6 linked regions of the Sus scrofa genome follow. The protein of the gene in region 5 interacts with the protein of the main gene of each other region in a pairwise test. Links are inferred from orthologs where the notes say so. Each region holds a gene or a part of one and is shown on either strand. Other genes may lie near its edges.

Evidence for each region.
Region 1: the proteins of AKAP9 (region 5) and DISC1 interact in a two-hybrid assay, tested with the Homo sapiens proteins (2 studies listed by BioGRID and IntAct). The link is inferred for Sus scrofa from reciprocal best matches to the Homo sapiens genes AKAP9 and DISC1.
Region 2: the proteins of AKAP9 (region 5) and C6H1orf94 interact in binary tests that used the Homo sapiens proteins (3 or more experiments, as listed by UniProt). The two-hybrid records come from large-scale screens. The link is inferred for Sus scrofa from reciprocal best matches to the Homo sapiens genes AKAP9 and C1orf94.
Region 3: the proteins of AKAP9 (region 5) and CDC5L interact in a two-hybrid assay, tested with the Homo sapiens proteins (2 studies listed by BioGRID and IntAct). The link is inferred for Sus scrofa from reciprocal best matches to the Homo sapiens genes AKAP9 and CDC5L.
Region 4: the proteins of AKAP9 (region 5) and PKN1 interact in a two-hybrid assay, tested with the Homo sapiens proteins (2 studies listed by BioGRID). The link is inferred for Sus scrofa from reciprocal best matches to the Homo sapiens genes AKAP9 and PKN1.
Region 6: the proteins of AKAP9 (region 5) and TNIK interact in a two-hybrid assay, tested with the Homo sapiens proteins (2 studies listed by BioGRID and IntAct). The link is inferred for Sus scrofa from reciprocal best matches to the Homo sapiens genes AKAP9 and TNIK.

What each region holds. Positions count from the first base shown.
Region 1 is NC_010456.5:58,908,455-58,911,954, reverse strand, and holds part of DISC1 (disrupted in schizophrenia 1 protein), read left to right. Parts: intron 1-407; 5' UTR 408-475; coding exon 476-1,414; intron 1,415-3,500. UniProt on the Homo sapiens protein: Involved in the regulation of multiple aspects of embryonic and adult neurogenesis. Required for neural progenitor proliferation in the ventrical/subventrical zone during embryonic brain development and in the adult dentate gyrus of the hippocampus.
Region 2 is NC_010448.4:90,439,627-90,443,732, forward strand, and holds the start of C6H1orf94 (uncharacterized protein C1orf94 homolog), read left to right. Parts: upstream 1-1,306; coding exon 1,307-1,635; intron 1,636-4,106.
Region 3 is NC_010449.5:39,383,146-39,387,196, forward strand, and holds the start of CDC5L (cell division cycle 5-like protein), read left to right. Parts: upstream 1-1,251; 5' UTR 1,252-1,544; coding exon 1,545-1,589; intron 1,590-4,051.
Region 4 is NC_010444.4:64,814,684-64,818,183, reverse strand, and holds part of PKN1 (serine/threonine-protein kinase N1), read left to right. Parts: coding exon 1-73; intron 74-1,271; coding exon 1,272-1,407; intron 1,408-3,500. UniProt on the Homo sapiens protein: PKC-related serine/threonine-protein kinase involved in various processes such as regulation of the intermediate filaments of the actin cytoskeleton, cell migration, tumor cell invasion and transcription regulation.
Region 5 is NC_010451.4:72,017,626-72,021,125, reverse strand, and holds part of AKAP9 (A-kinase anchor protein 9), read right to left. Parts: intron 2,043-3,500; coding exon 1,851-2,042; intron 1,488-1,850; coding exon 1,308-1,487; intron 1-1,307. UniProt on the Homo sapiens protein: Scaffolding protein that assembles several protein kinases and phosphatases on the centrosome and Golgi apparatus. Required to maintain the integrity of the Golgi apparatus. Required for microtubule nucleation at the cis-side of the Golgi apparatus.
Region 6 is NC_010455.5:109,660,846-109,664,345, forward strand, and holds part of TNIK (TRAF2 and NCK-interacting protein kinase), read right to left. Parts: coding exon 3,368-3,500; intron 1,736-3,367; coding exon 1,592-1,735; intron 1-1,591. UniProt on the Homo sapiens protein: Serine/threonine kinase that acts as an essential activator of the Wnt signaling pathway. Recruited to promoters of Wnt target genes and required to activate their expression. May act by phosphorylating TCF4/TCF7L2.

The sequences.
Region 1 (3,500 bases), on a different chromosome or scaffold from region 5:
TGGGAGTGTGCTGGTGTTTGGCTTCAGAGTGCTTGCTTTCCATGCCGCTCCAGGGGGAAAGCTCTGTGTGCCTAAAAGAGCAACAGGCAAGATGCTGGAGGCTCAGAATGTGCTGCCGTAGTTGGGTCTCTGAGGCGCTTGCAGTCTTGTCAGTATAACTCACAGCAGTGCTGGCTGCTCTGGAAATAGAGGGGTTGGGATGCTGTGCAGTTTCTACACATCCCAGGCAGACGCTTCCCAGGGATCATCAGGGTTTGGGTAGCAGCTTGGCCCCATGGCCATTGCACCAGCATCTCTTTGGCAGATGCACCGAGGGTTGCCCCCAACCCGGGGACGTTCTCCAAATGCAGCTGCAGCTGAGCTGGGGAGATGTGTGTGCTGATGGTGCGTGTCCTCTTTCCTCCCAGGCCGCCAAGATGGCTCACCACCTGCAGCGTCTTTTCGGAGGAGGCGGCTGGCACGGAGGCCAGGCTACATGAGAAGTGCAGCTGGGCCCCGGATCAGGTTCTTCTCGCCAGCAGTGGGCAGTCTGCTCCGGGCCCAGGGAGGGGCATGCAGTGAGGAGACCCAGCACTCTGAACCCAGGACAGGACCATGTGGCCGTGACCCTGGAGGCCAGGGGCAGGGTCCCTCGACCGGGACCCTCATTCCCTGGAGCACAGCAGCCTCTGCTTGGACCTCCACGGGCCCCCGAGGCCTGGCTCTGACAACAGGGAGAGGAACCCTGGGTCTCTCAGGGATTCAGCCCAGAGGTGGCCGCGCCCTGCCCAGCAGGCTGACTAGGTCGTGTGGCTCCGGGGACAACATATGCCAGGGGGCGCCACCATCCATGGACAGTTGGGAGGCTCCGAGCCCGAGTCGGGAAGCAGCCTGTGGGAAAGGAGCCCTGGACACCTGGGCCAGAGGCTCTCTATCCCCAGAGGAGGGAAGTGGCACCAACTGCAGCCTCGGAAGTGGCCCCAAGGTCGACCCCACCCCTCCTGGCTCTCAGGATGTCTTCACCTCCAACTTCAGCTTCATTCGCCTCTCCCTGGTCTCTGCCGGGGAACGTGGAGAAGCAGAAGGCTGTCCGCCACCCAGAGAGGCTGAGGCTTCTCATCAGAGCCCCGAGGAGACAGTGGCCAAGGCTGCTGGTGTGGACGGGCCCCATGAACACCCTCAGCTTCTCTCTCCCGCCTCACCCCTCAAGGCTCCTCAGGACCTGGCAGATGCTGCCCAGATGGCGGGGGACAGCCCCAGACTGGAGTGCGAGATGCTTCCTTTGCTGGACATGGACGCTGCCTCCTTCTGCTCCCTGGATCCCTCGAGACCCGAGGGCAGCCACCCTCAGGATGCTGACCTCTGGGACCCACTGCTCCGCACTTGTGAGCCTGCGCTGCTGCACTGCCTGCAGGGCCAGCGGAGGCGGCTGGAGGTGGGTGTGTCCCGAGCCTGTGGGCTGGGATGGTCTCACTGAGGAGGGGGGGGGCCGCAGGAAACGGCGGTTCTGGGGTTGCCCCAGTCCCCACTGGAAGCCCCTGTGGTGACTGGCCATGGAAAAATGTTGCTACACTTGCATCTCTCCTCCTTCTGTTGGAACTCTAATCTGGTCTCGTTCTCATCCTCTGTCCCTTAGATGCTTGCTTCGCTCTCTGTTGGCTTCAGGCTCCTCTGCAGCTTCTGGTCTGGGTGATGCAGGGTTAGCTCAGCCTTGCTCTGTTTTAAACAGGAGAAGGGGGACAGGGAGCCGGGGAGGTGGAGTCAGTCGCTGTGTGGATATAAAGATGATGATGCCCCAAACTGGGGGCGATCTGGAGCTGCTTCTGCATGCGCAGTGCTCATGGCATCCTCAGCAGCAGGGACTACTGATTTTGTTTCTGGTCCTTAAACTTCTCAGGCCCTCAGTTTCCTTATTTAGAGATGCTGACATCACACAAGATTGTTCTGTGGCTCAAGCTGGAATGTGAGTGCTTTGGAAATTGGGACAGGCGGTATAGAAGCAAGTTCCAGCATCATGACTTGCTGTCCACTCATCTGAGGGGGTACAGCTGGGGGTAGACAGGGCTGTTCTACCCTGAGAAGTCCCCAGAGAAACCCGCGCAGAGAGGCTTTGTGGCAACCCATTGGCTCATCCTGTTCAGAGACTGTGTTTTCCATCTGGGCTGTGTGCATGTGTGCACGTGTGCATGTGGGGATATGCATGCGTAAGCAGGGAAGTCGAGTCTCATTAGGATTTGGTAGGAGTACGTGAAAATGTGAGGCTCATGTTCCTTCCCAGCAGTGGATCTCCTTTGCTCTCTACTGCATATCCGATGTTCTTGGCCCCGGCCCTTTTGCCCTGTCTCAGCCTGGCTGTGGGATTTATCAGCCAGGGAGGTGGCAGAGCCACTTCTGTGTGAGACCTCTCCTACCCCCCCCCCCACCCCCGATGACCCTCTCCTTCCATCCTGTCCCTCAGCCCTTTGGATGTGCCCCATTCAGTGCTCATCACATTAATAATCATTTGCTTGTGGGTCCAAGTTCTACACTTGACTCAGACTTTTTTTTTTTTTTTTTTGTCTTTTTAGGGCCTCACTCATGGCATATGGAGTTTCCTGGGCTAGGGATTGAATCGGAGCTACAGTTGCTGGCCTACACCACAGCAACAGCAACGTGGGATCTAAGCCGTGTCTGTGACCTACACCACAGCTCATGGAAATGCCGGATTCTTAACCCACTGAGGGAGGCCAGGGATTGAACCAGCATCCTCTTGGATACTAGTCGGGTTCATTAACTGCTGAGCCATGACGGGAACTCCTCTTAAATATTTTTGGATGCATGATGCCTGGCCTACTGCCTGGTGCTTGATTACTGTTTGTTTTCAGTGAAATAATTTAGCTTGTTAAGATGGGCCACAGGGAGTTCTGTTGTGGCTCTGTGGGTCAAAGACCTGACATAGTGTCTATGAGGATGTGAGTTTGATTCTTGGCCTCGCTCAGTGGGGTAAGGATCCAGCGTTGCCACAAGCTGTAGTGTAGGTCACAGATGTGGTTCAAATCTGGTGTGGCTGTGGTGTAGGCTGGCAGCTGCCACTCTCATTCAGTCCTTAGCCTGGGAACTTCCATATGCTGCAGGTGTGGCCATGAAAAAACAAAGAAAGAAAAAAAAGAGATGGGCCATAGATATCTAACTGACAGATTTCTGTGGTTGTCTGTCTGAGGCCTAAGGAGAGGGGCTGAGAGGCACACATACAAGGATACAGGCACTAGGTGGAGGTTTGTACCATGATGCTTTTCGGACTCTAAATGACAATTTCCAACACGTTATTTCTGAGATCCTTTAAAAAAAATCTTGGCGGGGATTTCCCGTCGTGGCGCAGTGGTTAACGAATCCGACTAGGAACCATGAGGTTGCAGGTTTGATCCCTGCCCTTGCTCAGTGGGTTAAGGATCCGGCGTTGCCGTGAGCTGTGGTGTAGGTTGCAGATGCGGCTCGGATCCCGTGTTGCTGTGGCTCTGGCATAGGCTGGTGGCTACAGCTCC
Region 2 (4,106 bases), on a different chromosome or scaffold from region 5:
AGCCCTTCTCTCTGCACCTCCGTCCACCCCCAGGGAAGGCTTACGCAGCGCTGGAGGACCCGGCCGGTCTATTTCAGCAGCCTGGGGTGCCTGGGTTTGAACCCCAACTACCTTGTTCCTGGTGGGCTCAGTCCCTTCAGGACTTTGTGACTGGGTTTCTTCAAACGTGGAAGGATAATATGTAAAGGTACTAACTTCATGAGCTGGTTCGGAGTGAACCGGCCACGGAAAGCCGGGCGCTTGGCACACGGTGAGCACCCAAGCAAAGGACAGTTAGGGGTGAAATCAGCGATCCTGGGGCAGGGACCGGCAGGCTCTCAGGAGGGTGCGGAGGTGCGAGGGGGACGAGGCGGAGGGCGCGGTGCCCTCGACTTTTCACGGGGGAAGCGCTCTGGGGGCCTCCGCCCACCGGAGGGCCTGGGCCTCCCAACCTAGGACGCAGCGCGCGCGCACCGAGCCGTTGCTTTTGAAACCCTCCGCGGAATTCCAGCGCTGGACGGAAAGGGTGTGGGAGCCACCGGCAAGCGAATCGGCCCCAGCTGCCCCGCTGAGACAGCGCTCTTTTAAAGCATTGGGACCCTTCCCGTCGACCCCTAGGGCCGTGGCAGGTGTCTCCGGGGGGGTCGCCAGGGCACTCAACAGTGTTCCTGCAGGCGGAAGAGTAGCCAAGAGAGGGGGGACCCGAGGCGGCAGTGGGCGAGCAAGTGGGGGGGGAGGGGGTAGCGGCCTCTGCCGACCTAGGGACGGTTGGCCCTAGGTGGGAGCGGGGTCCCTGGGAAAGCCAGACGAGAATCCCATGGCAGGCTGCTGGACCCTGGTGCCTAGCACAGTGCCAGGCCCTCACCTGGTCATCCTCCAGGCTTAGCCAGCGATGATGCGCTGAGCCCCAGACACCAAAAGGTGTCAGGGGCTGCTGCGGACGTGTCGCAACGGGGGAGTGCCAGGGACTGTGGGGAGAGCCAGGGACTGTGGGGAGAGCCAGCCCTCCCCTTTCATCTGTTCCCAGATGTCATTCTGCCGGCTCAGGCGCCTGGTTCCTGAGCACAGGGGGATTCTACGGTTACTAAGCTACTGGTTTTTGTTGACTTTTAAATATTTTCTTCTAAGGGAGGGGGTGAGGGGGGCAAAAGTCAGGAAAGAGCAAATAAAAACAAATCAAAATAAGTTCCCCCTCCCTAAAAGAAAGCTGTCATCCAGCCACCACTCATACACACATCGAAGGCCTCTGAACAGAGTCACTTTGCTGGACCAACAGCCAGACAGAACTGACCTGCTTCTGCCCCATCCTCATCTCCCTTTCTGGTGAATGAGGGGTGGTGGTGGATGGTCGCCCTGTTTTCGAGCTCTGGGTGGACAAAGGGGCTTCCAGAAAGAGAGGAAGAGGATGGCCAGTGGGAATGGGCTGGCTTTGTCCTCGGCCCTGGTGGCCAAGCGCCCTTCCGCCCTAGGCCCATTTCCCAGATACATCTGGATCCACCAGGACACACCCCAAGACAGCTTAGACAAGACTTGCCATGAAATCTGGAAGAGAGTTCAGGGCCTGCCTGAGGCCTTGCAGCCCAGGACCTCAAAGGAGCAGCTCTCTGCCCCTGTGGCTGGCACTCCAAGAGACAACGGGCCCAGCTTCCAAGAAGAGTGAGTGTCCCCTTTCATGACCCAGGGGAGGAGGGAGGAGATGAGGGCTCACCCTCCGGGGGAATGTTCTGACCTCTTGTTGAATCTGGCTAAACCCTAAAGGTTGTGTATATTTCCTCTACCCACAATGGTCCTTTTTCCCCGTCTTTATAGGAGCATTGATTGGGGTCCTGAAGTTACCTGGGCAAAGAACCAGACCAGGGCTGTATTGCTGCTGCCTCTGACCCAGCCCACTAAGGGCAATTTCTCATTCCAAGGCATAGGCTACTCAGATGTAGGTCTGAAGACCTTGAAAAGCCACCCTAGCCAAGGCTGAGGGTTAGATGTCCACGGCTTTCCTCAGACGCACAGGGAGATCCTTCTCCCCTCCCACCCCCAAAGGCTAGGCGTTGACACAGATGAGTCTGATGGTTTTAAACCACATCTGGAATTCCCTAATACAGGGAGCAGCTGTCCCATTCAGCCTCCACAGAAGCTGCTGCAAGAGCGCACATCAAAATATTTACTGGGAAGGCATTGACATATTCAGAGGACATAATAGAAAATTAAAGTGCGGGAAGATGGCTGTAAATAGCCCGTTTCCTGGATGGGAAATCCTGTGTCTGGGAAACGCAGAGCTAAATGTTTCTCCACCAGGGCAAAGTTGGGCAGATGTTGTTGGGGATGGATATTAGAAAGGAAAGGGAGCAACAGAGAGGAAGAAGGGACCTCGTTAGGAAGAGCAAGTAAATCCACCGAGTTATTCATGCCACCACTGAGCAGTTGTTTGCTGCTTTGCATCTTCAAAGTGGGCTGCAAACATTAATTAATCCTCCCAGAGTCTCTATGAGGCAGGTATTAGTGTCCCCATTTTACAGATGGATTAGGTGTTAATAATTAAGTGCTAATTAAAGACTAAGCGATAATTAAGTGTTGCCTGTTTCAACACATGCTCCAGCTCTGCTCAGAGATGCTCTGGAGTGAGGGAGCCATTCAGGCAATTATCAGCTGCATCTGGTTTCAGGAATTTCTATGCAAAGTGTAACTGCTCCCCAGTTCTGCGCTACCTGCTGTCCTTTTTTGAGCTCCCTTACTTGCAACACAGGAAGGTGGAAAGCACTTTGGCTGTCATCGCCTCCCTTGCTCCCTGCTCAGCAGGACATGGCTGGGATGGCAATGGCCTATCTACAGCCAAAATCCTGCTATCCGGCCCTCCAGTGCCACCGAGCCCCTCTCCTCTGCCCACCACCATCTGCTCTGGGACAAGGCCTTGGCAGGGGGCCTGTGGGGCTGTGTTCAGCTCTCAGTGGCCAAGGAGCTGATTGTCCACTTTATGGACCAAGGGTCAATGGCAATTTCCAGTCGATGGCACCCTCTCTGCCAGGTCACAGGGAGTTAATGGAGCCAGACTCTAATTCCAGTCTGTGCTTGGCCAAGAAGCGAACTGGCACACCTTTGGCCAGTTGCTTAACTCCCTTTGGCCTTGATTTTCTCATCTGCAAAGTGAGGCTAATATGCCCTGCCTTGTCCACCTCAGAGTTGATAATGAGAATCAAATGTGATGGGAGACAGAAAACTGGAAGCTGCGTTATACCAACGAGGCTGTCCCTAATTGCAGTTCTTGGGGTTCTGGGTTTGGTTGGTGTTTTTGATGGCTTCTATCTGCAGTTTTCACGGGATCCTCATAGACCCTATGGTGCTTCAGGGGCCCTGCTGGAGTCCCAATCCCCACCTCAACCAGAGCTGTTCAGCTTTTAGGGGTTTTATTTACTGAAGTTCTGCGTACTGGCTGCATTTGAAAAAAGGGGTCTGCTATGAGAAAAGAGCGAGGAAACCGTTGCCTTTGATGAATAAGCAATACCATAGTCGTGCAGATATCAACCACGTCAAACACAATGAGCTATTCTTGAAATAAAGGCAGCTGCGATGGTAGAGTCAGATAGCTCTGGTTTCAGATCGCATTTCAGCCCTGTGCCAGCTGCAGGATTTGTTTAATTTATGTGAGCTTCAGTTTCCTCATCTGCCAAATGGAGATGATTACTATGCATTTCTTTGGGTTGTTGGGATGATTAAATGGATATTTAAACATTCCTGGTAATAACTAGGATTTGTAAAAATTCCTTGTAATAATGATGATGATTTCTTTAAGCCCTACAATTATTACATGAAGTGGGTACTATTTTAAACTCCCTCTCTTTTTCCTTTTTGTTATGCAAATGTTCAAACTCATAAAAGAGAATAGTATAGTGAAATGTCTATCAATCAGCTTCATTAATTATTAACTTTGTGCCATTCTTGTTTCAGTTCTTCCCTCCCCTGTTTTTAAATCATACTCTTTTTACAGATGAGGTAACAGGTTTGGAGGGGTTAATTTCCCTTTCAAGAAGTCCTACAATTAGGAAGTAGTGGAGTTTGAGAAAGCAAACCCAGGACCATCTTAGTCATCCATGATAGTGTTGGCTATCTTCCCCTAGAAACAGAGGCATCTTTTT
Region 3 (4,051 bases), on a different chromosome or scaffold from region 5:
TTTAGGTATGTCAACTAATTTGCCCCTCAAATTTATGAGGTATGAATTGTTAACTCCACTTTTCAGATAAGAATACTGACATTCAGCAAGTTTATTACTCAAGCTGATGAGAGAGGCAAGATTTCAACCCAGCCTGATTTTGTCTAATTTTTTATCTTTTTTTTTTTTTTTTTTTTTTTTAGGGCTGCACCGTGGTATATGGAGGTTCCCAGGCTAGGGGTCTAATCACAGCTGTAGCTGCCAGCCTATGCCACAGCCACAGCCTTGCCAGATGTGAGCCATGTCTGCAACCCACACCACAGCTCATGGCAACACCGAATCCTTAACCCACTGAGCGAGGCCAGGGATGGAACCTGCGTCCTCGTGGATACTAGTCAGATTCATTTCCGCTGAGCCACGACAGGAGTTCCTTTCTCATGTTTGTGGATGGTAACGCTCTACTATTAATCCACATAAACTGAATAGCAATGAATGAAAATCTCTGACATGACATTTCTGCAGCTTTCTGGAACAACCACTGATCTCTTGGGGTTGCCCTTATTGTAATAATATATATATATTTTTTCCACCCCACAGCATATGGAAGTTCCTGGGCCAGGAATTGAATCCCAGCCCCAGCTATGATTTATGCTACTTTTGTGAGCATTTGTTATGTATCAAATATTATGGTTAGGTTTACCATCTCATTTAAATCCTTAGGACAGGGAGTTGTGGCGCAGTGGAAATGAATCTGACTAGTATCCATGACCATGTAGGTTCAAGCCCTGGCCTCCCTCAGTGGGCTAAGGATCCCGTGTTGCCCTGAGCTGTGGTACAGGTTGCAGATTCAGCTCGGATCCTGCGTTGCTGTGGCTGTGGTGTAGGCCGGCAGCTATAGCTCTGATTAGATCTCTGGCCTGGGAACTTCCAAACGCAGCGGGCGCAGTCCTAACCCTCCCCCCGCCCCCCCCCCCCAATCCTTAGGACAACCCTCTGAAGTTGTACTATTATTATCTCCATTTTACAGGTTAGGAAATTTGGTCTTAAATAAACAATGGGTTTTTCCTGTGTATTCTGTGGATAGATTTCCATGCGTTAAATGCCTAATAACATGCTAAACTGATAAATTAACAAAGCTCTTTTTAAACCGGGCGAGCTTAAACTCCACACGCGCGACGTTCCCACTCTTTGCCACTAGGTGACGTCACGGCCAATCCCAACGAAACTACAGTCCCCGCTGACACCTCGCGAGAGCCGTGGTTTCCTCCACCTATTTTGGGCCTGCGCCGGGCATAGGCCGCTTTGGCTAGAGCTGTTTGATGTTTTTCTGTCAGTCTTTCTAGAGCAGCGCTTTAACAGCAAGGCACTTATTTCCTCTCAGCCACTTGAGTTCTCGCGAGATTTGTTACCCTGTCCCCGCAACACCCCCTTGCGCCTGCGCAGATCTCTTCAAAGCAGAAGGTCGCGCTTAGAGGAAGTGGCGCCTTAGGGTCCCGTGGCCGCAGCGCCGTTACTACTTCTCTGAATCTCCACTCGGCTGCTTGCCGAGACACTCCGCCGCCAAGATGCCTCGAATTATGATCAAGGGGGGTGTGTGGAGGAATACCGAGGTAAGTCCCCTTTTCCCGCCGTCGGATGCCCTCCGCCCCTCCGGCTGCTGATGCGCACGCGCGCGGGGGTCCAGGAGGCGGGGAGGATGCCTGCGGGGTCTGCGTGGGGGGCGGTGCGGGGCCGACCCCCGGACCTTTACCCGGTGCAGGGCTCAGCGTTATCTGAGAACCTTAAGGACAGGGACCTTGATTTACCTGCTTGATTACTTGCGGGGCCCTGGTTAGGCCCTCAGTGAACATTTGTTGAATTGAGGACGCGCCCTCCGTTCTGGTGGAACCCACGGTGTGTCGGGGAGATAGGAACAGCGAGAGTCGATCTTCTGAGCCACCCCCATTTCTCAGCCCAGGCACCGTGCCTCTCTCTGATATTCAGAAATGAAGAAGTGCTGTGGCCACAACTTTGTTTTTTCCTTGACTTCCTTGAAGAGGGGAAGCAGTTTGAGTGCCTGGTTATTTGCGCCCATTTACGCCCGCATCCCCACGACTGTTACCAAGGCATAACTTGTCTGCCCTCCCTACACATCTCATGGCCTCGCTCTTCCTGTCATTCCACTTCAGCCTGGATAGAAGCCAGATAGGACAAACAGGGTTCCCGAAACGTAGTGGATAATGCCATTCGTGAACCAAAGGATGATAGAGAGGGAGTAAAATAGAAATAAGGTTTTAGTGCGGTTTGTGTTTATAGGGCACCAAATTTGTCAGTTTTCAGAGCACACCATGTCTTTTCTTGCTCTTTATCTTTACATTTTGCACCTTCTTGGAATATCCTCCTACGCTTGGCATCTTTCTGACCCTCCTTCTAAAACTATTTCAGAAACTCTTCTGGAATTTTTCGTCTTGTGAAAAGTAGTTGCACCCCCCCACTGGTCCCATGACACCTCTTTTATCCGTTTGTTTTGGTGTACTTTGTTTTTTTGCAAGCATCACATCCTCCTATGTGAATGTGGGTGAATTTATTAACTTCTCAGAGCCTCAGTTTCCTAATGGGGATGGTAATAATACCTCCCTCTCTTGAGAATTAAATGAGTCACTACATTTGGAACTTTTAGAACACAGTCTGGCATATAGTAATTGCTCAGTAAGTGCTAGTTGCTATTTCTTTCCCCCAGTAGACAACACTGCAAGAGGACAGGACCAGATCTTGGTATCTAGAACCTAGGACAGTACCCAACAAAATTTGTTTGGCTAGTGTTTGCTGAGTGGGTCTAGTAGGTTAGATTAACTGTTGTTTATACTTAGTTGAAGCTGTGATTAAGTGTAGCAGTGCTGCATCAAAGTTTCAAATAAAGTTAATGACAGCCTTGCCTCATAGCTTGCACGGAGGGAACCAGGATGTTTAAACTGGAGAAGAGATGACTTCTGGGAGAGAGACAGATGTGCAAAAATAAGTAACAGCAGGATTCCTATGCAGTGGCCAAAGTCCTGCAGTCTTTTTTAGTCTCTGGTGATAGGGCTGTGGAGTGCCTCCTACATGAAGCGTGTAACTCAAGTTCAGTGTGGAAAAATGCCTAAAAGTAAAATGCCCCAAGTGCATTCATCTATGGCTCTAATATCCCTGGTGTCTGTGCTTTAGCTTGCGAGGCTCCGATTTCCATACTGAAATGGGTGCCCTGGTAAAATATCTGTTTGGAGGCTGGAGTCAGAGTTGAGTGGTGATTTAGGGGAGAAATACTTAATTCTTAGGCTAGACCCAAGATGTAGATTCCTGGGTCAGAGTGGGGGTTGTGGGACTAGAGAGCAAAGGCTATTCATGAACTGGAGGCAGGAAGCCTGGATTGAGGGCTGGATGTGTCCTATTTGATTCTCTTTTCCTAAGTAAACAAGACCTGGTATCAGGGCATATGTTTTTTGAATGAATGCATAAGTGAATGAGCCATATCTTTTTGAAGATAATGACAGCCACACATTGGAGAATCCTCTTTAAAATCTACCAAGTAGGATTTCTCAGATTGGGCTGTACTTATTCGAAGTTATTGGTGGGATGGGAGGGGGGTTGTGTGTAAACCTCTAAGAAATTTCTTTGTTTTGTTTTTTGCTTTTTAGGGCCGCACCCAAGGCATATAGAGGTTCCCAGGCTAGGGGTCTAATCAGAGCTACAGCTGCTGGCCTACACCACAGCCACAGCAACGCCAGATCCCAGCCGCGTCTGCAACCTACACCACAGCTCATGGCAACACCGGATCCTTAACCCACTGAGCAAGGCCAGGGATCAAACCTGCACCTCATGGCTCCTAGTCGGATTCGTTTCTGCTGGGCCACGATGGGAACTCCCTTTTAAGAGATTTCTTAATTTCTTGCATTTTGCTTGTTCTGGCTTACTTTTTTTTTTTATTATTATTGTAATGAAATTTCGTTTTTTTCTTTTTAAACTTTGGATAGGAGTTCCCGTCATGGCGCAGTGGTTAACGAATCCGACTAGGAACCATGAGGTTGTGGGTTCGGTCCCTGCCCTTGCTCAGTTG
Region 4 (3,500 bases), on a different chromosome or scaffold from region 5:
GCTGGCCATCGAGCTGAAGGTGAAGCAGGGGGCGGAAAACATGATCCAGACGTACAGCAACGGCAGCACCAAGGTGGGGGCAGCACGAGTGAACACACCCCTGTGTGCACATACGCCTGGAGCACATCACACAGTGAGGGGGTTTGGGGGGGTACCTACATGTCCCCCATGGGAGGTTTGGGCCCTCTGGGTTGGGAACAGAGGGACTGATGAATGACTGAGTGGCAGAACTGGGGTGCAGGCAGCTCATGGTGGTATGTGGGAAACAGAGTGACTGGGTGATGTCAGACAGACACACAGCAGTTAGCCCTGGAGACCCAGCAGCCTCTGTGGACAGGGCAACATGCAGCCTCTCACTGCTACTGGCATCTCTCTGACATGTGCACGTGCAGGTCAACACCTGGAGTCACACACACCATTATAACATCTAGAGACACAGCAGTAACAACACTTGGACACATGGAGGATGACTACCACAGGGCTCTCTGGACACGTAGAGACATACCATCATAATAACCCCAGGACACACAGTACAGGCCAACAGACGTCTAGACACACAGACACGCACACCATTAAATTCACACCCAGAGAGCAGAGTTGTCACACAGTCATTCCCCCCAGCTATACCAACACCAAGAACACAGTCACAGGTCTGCACCCACACCCAGAGATACACCCACAAGCACAGCCAGACCTATAGCTAGAGACCCGGGAGAGCACCCATACCTGTGTGCACACACAAAGGTGAATATTACGTGGGAGGGCACAGACCATGCCAGATTTTTTTTTTTTTAAACCTTTTATTGAGGTGTAACAAAGGGATGTGTAGTATATTTTTTTTCTTTTTTGGCCACCCCAAGGCATATGGAGTTCCCTGGTCAGGGAACTTGGACCCACCTACGTGACTCCTGTCAGGGCTACACCCACCACGGGGAACACTGAGCCACACGTATGCCTTTCTGACAGCTGACACAAATACAGTGCCTGCTGGTGCCAGGCACAGCACTGAGCCCTACATACAGATTAGCTCCTTTAATCCTCAGCCGAGTGGTGGTTGCAATCCAATTAGCAATCCCAGTCCTGTAGATGACGAAACAGGCCCAGAGAGGTTGAGTGGCTTGCCCAAAGTCACACAGATAGCAGTCTTAGGTAGCAGAGCCAGGATTCAAATGCCATGGGTTACTCAGGGCCTGCACTGGTGTGGACAGAAGAGCTGCTGGTCAGTCTCCCATCTGGCCAGCCTTCCTCTCACGGCCCATCTCTGCCTCTAGGACCGGAAGCTGCTGCTGACGGCCCAACAGATGCTGCAGGACAGTAAGACCAAGATTGACATCATCCGCATGCAGCTCCGCCGGGCACTGCAGGCCTGCCAGCTGGAGAGCCAGGCGGCCCCGGATGAGGCCCAAGGTGAGTCCGTTGCCCTGATACAGCTTAGCCTGCATCCTATCTTGTAGAGTTCTGCTCCCAGTCACATAGGGGGTTCCTTTCTGGGGCAGGGAGGTGAGTGCTCTGACTCATCATGTGACTGGAACCCATTCTTGACCCTCTCTGGGCCTCAGTTTCTCATTTTGTCCCACTCAAAGTTTCCACTTGATCAAGTGTTAGCAAACCAAAGCTCTTGGGCCAGATCTGCTACTGCCTTTTTGTAAATAAAGTTTTATTGGCACCCAGCCACACCCATTCATTTACTGTCACCTAAGGCTGCTTTGGCATTGACAGCAGAGCCAAGTAGTGGCAACAAAGACTATGTGGTCTGCAAAGCCAAAAATATTTACCCTGTGACTCTTACGGAAAAGATGGGCAGACCGCTGGACTAGGTGGTTGCCTTGTCATGTTGGCCCCTGTGGTGTCCTCAGTGTGTGTGTTTCTGTGAGTGTTTCAGTGTATGAATCTCTCGGGGTGGGAGGGGTCTCAACCTGATTGTCAGCCTGAATTTGTGACGGAGTCTTGATGTATGCATGGGCTACTGATGTGTGTCAGTATTAATGTGATATTAGCCATGGGGACCAGGGGTTGTATGGATGCTCTGTAACTATGATAATTTGCCTGTCACCATGAGAAATAGAGAAGTGTCAACTGTTGGTGAGTGATAGTGCATTTGGGCTGCTATAATATACCACAGTACCACAGATAGGGGAGGGGGCTTTTAAACAACAGACATTTATTTCTCACAGTTCTGAGGGCTGGGAAGTCCAAGATCAAGGCGCTGGCAGATCCAGTGTCTGGTGAGAGCCCTCTCCCACATTCACAGACAGATGCCTTCTTACTGTGTCTTCACTTTGGAAAGGGCCGGGGAGCTCTCTGGGGCCCTTTTTATAAGGACACTGATCCCATTTATGCAGGCAAAGTCCCCATGACCTAGTCATCTCCCAAGGGCACCAAGGTCACCACCTCCAAAGACATCACACTGGAGGTTGGGTTTCAACATATGAAGTTTGCAGGGAAACATGCAGTCCATAGCAGTTGGACCTGTAACACGGATGACAATGTATGTGTCTTTGTAGTGCGGAGGTGTGTGTGGTTGTTTGTATGAACTCTGAATGCCTACGTGAATTTCTCAGTGTCAGTGTGCGATGGTATGATCATGTCCCTGTGCCTCTGGGTGACACTGTAACCTTTGGTGGCAGCTTGCTTTTGTCCCTGCAAGTATAAAAGTCTTGGTAACTGGGCACATGTGACAGCAGTCCTGGTGAGTGCCACACACCTGTGGGTGACTGTGACTCTCTGAGTGCCAGAGTCTGAGTCTGGGTCATTATGCAGGACAATGAGACTGTCCTTGGAATCTACAGCCGTGGATAAGGGTGACTTTGACCTCATGTCCCTAGGTGACAGGTTTCCCATACCTGTGTGACAGTGTCTATCCCTGTGCCATTGGATAACTGTGGCTGTGTCCCCAGGACTTTGCCCTGAATATGGTAGCCAGCCTGTTTCCCTGTGACTGGGTCTCTGTTTCTATGAGTATTGCTGATGCTACCTTGCCTGTGTGACAATGTGGCAGCATTTCTTTACCTGTCCCTATGCCTGATCCACATGGCAGTGTGGTTGTGTTCCTGTGATTCTCCTTGGGTTGAAATTAGAACCCTGGGAGTTTTGCCACCATGTGACTGTGTCCTATGAGGGTGTTTATGTTTTGTGACTGTTTTTCTCTGCCCTTGTGACCGTGTCCCTTTGCTTGAGGTTGACAAGGCACATATCTATGTAATATCAGCCTCAATCCTGTGACAGTGTCCCTGTGTAGCAGCGTGATAGCATCTTTGTGAGAGTGTGTGTTCATCTGCCTGTGGGTATGTGTAACAGTGCCTACACTGGTGAGAAAGTGATAATGCCAGTGTCACCCTGTGAGTGACAGCATAACAATGTCTGTGTGATGTTGTCCCTGTTCCCCTAATTGCATTATATTTCATGATGTGGGTAGTTACCATTCACTTATCCAGACCCCTACTGGAGGAAATGGGGTTGTTTCTAGTCTTTTGGTCTTGAAGGCTTTGAATAACCATGAA
Region 5 (3,500 bases):
AAGGTTTTATTGGACTTACATATTCAAAGAAAAACTGAAACATAACTCTTTTACCCTTTAAAATTTTAGATTAGCTACTACGGAAAACAGCAATGAGATTCCTTAAAAAACTAAAACAGGGAACTCTACCCAATATTCTGTGAGAATGTATGTGGGAACAGAATCTGAAAGAGAATGGATATCTGTACATTTATAACTGAATCACTCTGTTGTACAGCAGAAATTATCACAACATTGTAAATCAACTATATGTCAAAAAACTTGAAAAAATGGAAAAATACCCCAAAAAACTAAAAACAAAGCTATTACATGATCCAGAAATCCTTTTCCTGGACATATGTCTAGAAAGACAAAAACTCCGATGACCTACATGCCGAGCAACAACAAAAAGATACAGGCACCTCAATGTTCACTATTTAAGTAGCCAAGACAAGGAAACAATCCAAGTGCCCATCAACAGATGACTGGTATAAGAAGATGTGATATACTGGAGTTCGTGTTGTGGCATTGTGGCGCAGTGGTTAACGAATCCGACTAGGAACCATGAGGTTTCGGGTTCAATCCCTGGCCTTGCTCAGTGGATTAAGGATCCTGCATTGCCATGAGCTGTAGTGTAGGTTGCAGACGCGGCTCAGATCCTGTGTTGCTGTGGCTCTGGCATAGGCTGGCGGCTACAACTCTGATTGGACCCCTAGCCTGGGAACCTCCATATACAGTGGGAAGTGGCCCTAGAAAAGGCAAGAAGACAAAAAAAAAAAAAAAAAAAAGATGTGATATACACACACACACACACACACACACACACACACACACAATGGACTATGACTCAATCATAAAAAAGAATGAAATACTGCCACGTGCAGCAACATGAGTGAACCTAGAGAATATCATACTGAATGAAGTAAGTCATACAAAAATAAATACTATATGGTATAACTTATATGTGGAATCTAAAAAATAATGTAAATGAATCTATATACAAAACAGAAATAAACTCACAGACACAGAGAACAACCTTGTGGTTACCAAAGGGTAAAGAGAAATGGGGAGGAATAAACTGGGAATGTGGGATTAAGAGATAGGAATTACTATATACGAAATAGATAAGCAATAAGGATTTACTATATAATACAGGGAACTATATTCATTATAATAATCTATAATGGAAAATAATATGAAAAAAATATAAAACTAAATCACTTTGTTGTACAGCTGAAACTATAACAATATTATAAATCAACTATATTTCACTAAGAATAAAAATTCTAGCTTGAGTAATTTCATATAATAATTTTAAATTACTATACCTTGTTATCTGTTGTAATCTTAAGTTGATGCTGAAGTTTTGTAATTTGCTCATTCAATCGGTCAATTTCTACTTCTTTTTCTTGCATTATTTGAGCAAATTTCCCAAATAGTAAATGTTGGTCCTGAGTAGAGATGGCACCAGATTGCTTTATGGCGAATCCCAGTTTTTCCATTTCATCCTAGGGTCAAAAATAACCATCTCAGTAGGATAGGCATTACAATGTGATTTTTAGAACATTCTGTCACTTAACTCTTACCAAGCTATCGTGCCCAACATGTACAAAAGGAAAAAATTAGAGCTTTCATAAAATTACTGTAAATAATTCTTAAAATAGTTTGACAAGGGTCTCCAAAATTTTTCATTTATGACAAATTCAAAAGTTTATGTTGGGTTGAAGATAAATTCCATGAAAATCCATTTGCAGTTAATGTTTCCCTGTTAAGTATTATTTAGCAGCTGGATTTAGCAAATGCTTAACAGTAGAGCTACACGAGACCAAACAATGAGTTATTTAGAGGCAAAGTTTTTCCTAACTAATTACCTTAAATAATTTGTTTTCTTGTTCAAGTTCTTGTAGACGGGTAGTAGATTCTTTTTTCTGTATTTCTAATTGCATATGCAGTTGCTGGACTTCTTCATTCTTATTTTCCAGTTCTTCTCTGAACTGTTCTAACTGTTCTTCTAAGTTCGTGATCTTTGACATCAAAATTAGCAAAAGGAAAGAGAAAAAAAACTGTCCATAGAAATGATTACTTTTCAAAAAAGAATGAACAGTGCTGTGTTAGTTCAATAGTATATAAGCTTAAAAGACATGAGCCATAAGAATACTGGAAAGTAGTCTCCTTAACCCAGATGTAACTGTGTGGTTTCCAGACATTTTCAAAGTGAACACCTTTAAACTATCCTGCCCAAAGCAAAGAGATCTTGGGAGGAAGGATACAAGGAACCTTTTTCCTACCTAAAATTATCCTCTGGTAAAGCATAAAAGAGTTATGGGAGAAGAGTCCACATTCATTTTAAAACTTATTTTATGTTAAATTAATTGCTATCAAAAAGGCTCAAGAAAGCTGTAGATTTAAGTCAGTTATTTCAGCCACCAAATGAGACTAGCTCAATTTAGTCCATACTAATACTTAACCTAATGAAAGGGGTGGCAGCCATGAGCCTTACTTGAGCAGAAGGGAGCAGAGTCAGACTCTAAGACCATGAGAGCCTCAGGTCTAAAATACAGAAACTTAAAAATTAAGTTAGTAAAACCATTTTAGAAAAAAATTATAGTGCTGCTATTTGCAGGACAATTGAAATTCGGCTCATTTCTTAGCAGAGATTACCGTTAATGGTAAAGCAATTGCTCTCTGATGGTTATACAGAAACTGAAACTAATGGTGAACATTAAGAGCTAGTATTTAAAAAATTGGGTTCAAGTGAGGACAAGAATAGTCATTTAGCTCGATGCTTTGTGCTTCTTAACACATTTTTAATGAATGAATTTTCGAATGTGTATGTACCCAATGATCAAAACTGCTGCATTATAAGCAACCTAAGGGAGTTCCCGTAGTGGCTTAGTGGTAACGAAGCTGACTAGTGTCCATGAGGACACAGGTTCTGTCCCTGACCTTGCTGACTGGGTTAAGGATATGGTGTTGCCAGAAGCTGTGGCAAAGGTTGCAGATGTGGCTCAGATCCCACATTGCTGTTGCTGTGGTATAGGCCGGCAGCTGCAGCTTCAATTCTACCCCTAGCCTGGAAACTCCCATATGCTGTGGGTGTGATCCTAAAAAGACCCCTCCCCCCAAAAAAAGCAACCTAAGGAGTTCCCCTCGTGGCTCAGCAGATTAAGGACCCAACAATGTCTCTGTGAGGATGTGATTTGATCCCTGGCCTCACTCAGTGGGTTGAGGATCAGGCGTTGCTATAAGCTGTGGCACAGGTTGCAGATGCAGCTTGGATCCAGTGTTGCCATGTCTGTGGTGTAACCTCCAGCTGCAGCTCCAATTCAACCCCCAGGCTGGAACTTCCATGTGCTACAGGTACAGCTATAAAAAAATGATAGCAGTAACAAATAAAATAAAAGCAACCTAAGATCCAAGAGCTTAGAAAGCACCTATAAATCATTTATTACCTTAGAACTTGAAAGGGGGTATATTCTGATTATACCCCAACATGAAATCAGAATATCTTAGCATTAGCA
Region 6 (3,500 bases), on a different chromosome or scaffold from region 5:
ACCAGAAAAACAGATTCACTAAAGCACTGCACACTGGATTTGACAAGAGAGCACGTTTATAACTTAAATTAAGGGAACCCCTGTGCAGTTACTATTCTTTTATAACTGAAAGCACTGATTATGCATGGACCCCAACAGCTAAGGTGGGTGGGAGGAGGGTGGGGGTGCTTCCTTCTCTCTGGGCCAACACAGATCAGAGGGCAGTTCAAGAATCTTTGGCTCCTATTTCCATTTTCTTCTTTCCCTACCAACGTGCAGGAAACTGTTATACTTTTAAAAATGGGATCTGTCACTAACAACACAATGAGGCCTAACCATGAATTTTCTTCTATCATTTCCACTTTTGGTAGGTGACTGGCAGATATATTTGAATTGGTAGTGCAGCAATCAAGAAAGCATTAACCAGGATAAAGGACTACACTGAATTGAACTCGAATGATAGGACAAGAAGAATTTACTGGGTTCACCTTTATTTGGGGAGAATAAAAAGAGATGAAACCTCTGAGTATTCAGTGGAAAGGTCAAAGAAAGAGGGAACTGCAAATGAAGGCATTTTCTCAAAACAGAAATGCAGCTGTAGAGTTAAACTTTATTCAGGGTTCGATCCAGGTTCTTCTTTCCATTGGTAGGGAAAGAGGAAAACGGAAATAGGAGCCAAAGATTCTTGAACTGCCCTCTGATCTGTGTTGGCACAGAGGGGGTGAACTGCCCCCCCCGCCACCCCCCACCCCACCTTAGCTCGGTTTCTCTTTGTGAAACAATGGCTGGTTCTCAGGCATGGCTGCACAGTGGAAATGCCTCAGGTGCTATGAAAGCTTCTGAGACCTGGACCACAGGCCCTGAGATTCTGACCCGCTAGTCTGAGGCACATCCTGGATTTTGCACATCTCCTCATGGGGTTCTAATGCATGGGGGACAGTCAGTTTCATACTGGATGGGATGGGAGGGGAAGGGAAGAGAGGGTTGTTATTTATTAAATGCCTTCACACACCCCCCCAAAAAAAAACTTCCAGTAAACATGGACTCCTTCAGGTCACATTTTTAACTTGTCATTAATAAAGCCTTCACTTCTGTCTCCATCTTTTTTGAAGCTCTTTTGGGGAACCAGAAAGCTGCAGTGTAGCCATAATGATTCCTACATTCAAATCACCTTGCAGACTCAATCACTCAATGGGCCAGCTGCATTTACCAAGGTGTCAGTGAACTAGAAAGGAGCCCAGAGAAATTTCTGCTTACAAAACTCCTCACTCCCAGAAGCCTACTTTTTTATACTTGCATCTGAGAGTAGATGGCAGTGACCAGCATGTAGACACCTTAAAAAGATCCTTGCTGAGTCCCGGCAGAGCATTCGGGCCCTTAAGTGCACAGCCTTTGTGCTATGTCCTGATTCAGATTTCAGGCAGAGGTGAGAGACTTCCCTTTGAAGGTGAGAACCTCTAGAGTGACAAAACGTGGGTGATGTCACTCTGGCTCTGCTGCCGTAATTCAGCTCGCTGCGTGGGAAGGGCAGAGCTTGCTGTTCCTTCAGAAGCAAGGTGATTGCCTTTCCCACCTGCGCAGACCCGGAGGACTCGGCCATCCAGCGACGTACCTGATATTGTCACGAGGACATTCAGTCCCTCTAGCACATCCATCTGCTGAAACCGCCTCCGGTTGATCAGATTATAAACTTTGCCTTGCCCACTTCGGTCCAAAAGCATCAGGCCATTTTCGGTTCCCACCAGGAGATTTACACCTGCAAATTGAAGAAGCCCCCCAAGACTGACTCTTATGGGCTTTACTCTTCTACATCTAGGGTCCCCGTAAAAAACCTAAGAAACTCCCTTGCAAATATAAACTAACGGGCAAGCAGGCACTACAGTAGGGAGTGGAGAAGTAGAAACTCTGAGACAGTAATTAAATCACCATCCCTCTGGTAACGAAATTAGTTCTCTTTTATGAAGTGGCAGCAGCGTTCATTACAGGTAGCTCTGTACTACCTAGAATAGAATTTTTCTCAAGAGGGGCCTGAGGCACAGCTGTGAAGCTGACACAGTTTACCTTGATTCCTTTCCTGTAACACCCACCCTTTTCTTGGCTCTCTCTTTAAATCCTCCCGAGACTTCCCCAAGGTTCACCTCACTCCTATTCATGCAGTGATTTCCAGCCTACCCACCTTGGGCATAGATGCCCTCCTCCCATATCCTACAGGAGGAAAAGCCCTCCCTCCTCCTCACACCAAGGCTTAATTTGTGTCCTACACCCTTTGCTGGGGACATGATGAGCCAATTCAAGTGAAGGTGTTAAGGGCCTGAGGGTCAGGCAAATACTGACTGTGATTCTAGACCAGTCCACCTCCCATGCAGTTAATTCCTGTTACAAAAACTCCGGTAGGTAGGTAAGTGGTCTTGTCTGAATAGCTACGATCCTGAAGATTCATCCTTAGGCAAATGAGCACCCCGTGCACTCTCACCACACACACAGACGTGTACACATGCTGGGAGGTCGACTATACAATGGCCTATATTCACAAACAGGTAAATGTCCAACTTCTCTGGCTTATTGTACAACTTTCTTCTAAGTAACATGAAGGTCTGCTCTTTCAACCACATGTTCATAGAAACCATGACACATGTCTTTCAACCATCAAGTGTTTCAACCACAGGCTTGACCACATTTCCCATGAAATAGCTTCTAGGTTTCATGCTCGGCCCTGCTAACATCTCAAATGCGTTTGCCCTTGTAAAATGGTGGTGCCCTGAACTAGGCCTAGTGTGATATGTGGGTACAGATGGGCCATGTCCTCTCTTGATGTTTATGGTAACACAGACCAGGATTTTGATAGGCTCTCATCACACCTATCCTGAGTCTGAGGTCATCTCAAACCTGCAGATCTTTTTTATAAGAACTGCAGGTTGATGTTTTGAACTAAAATGGAAGACTCATCATTTGTCGCCCTTTTCAGGTTTTATCTTGCTACTCTTACTGGTATGGCTTTTGACAATTCACTGATAGATTCTGGGCTGCTTTTCTTCTACAAGGGGTCACATCCCCTTGTAGAATGTTGTATGCATCAGGGAGACAGAATGTGGAGCACATCACCTAGAGCTGGGCACACAGGGGTAGGTACTGAATGGTAGCTAGTCCTGTTGTTGGCTTTAGTCCATCACTATTACATGACAAGGTCATTCCGAGTCCCATTCTGTTATCCTGGGAATTAGGGTATTAGCTCTTTCTCCATATAATATTGTTTTCGAACTTTCCTGAGGTCAAGATGATCCCAAGTCTAACACCCAATTCAGTCAGCACCCTTCTGATGGTTAAGACCCATAGGCTTTTCACGTTTGAGGGTCAATTCATTAATGAACAGTAAAAAGCACCAACTCACCCCACAGAGCTGCACAAAGTATTTCTGAGTTGAATCGCTTCTTGTATTTTCTGATTTCTGGCGTGTCGCTATGAGGCCGAATGTTGGTTGGGTTTACGTTTACCACTGAAATCTTTCTTGCTTCATTTAGTTT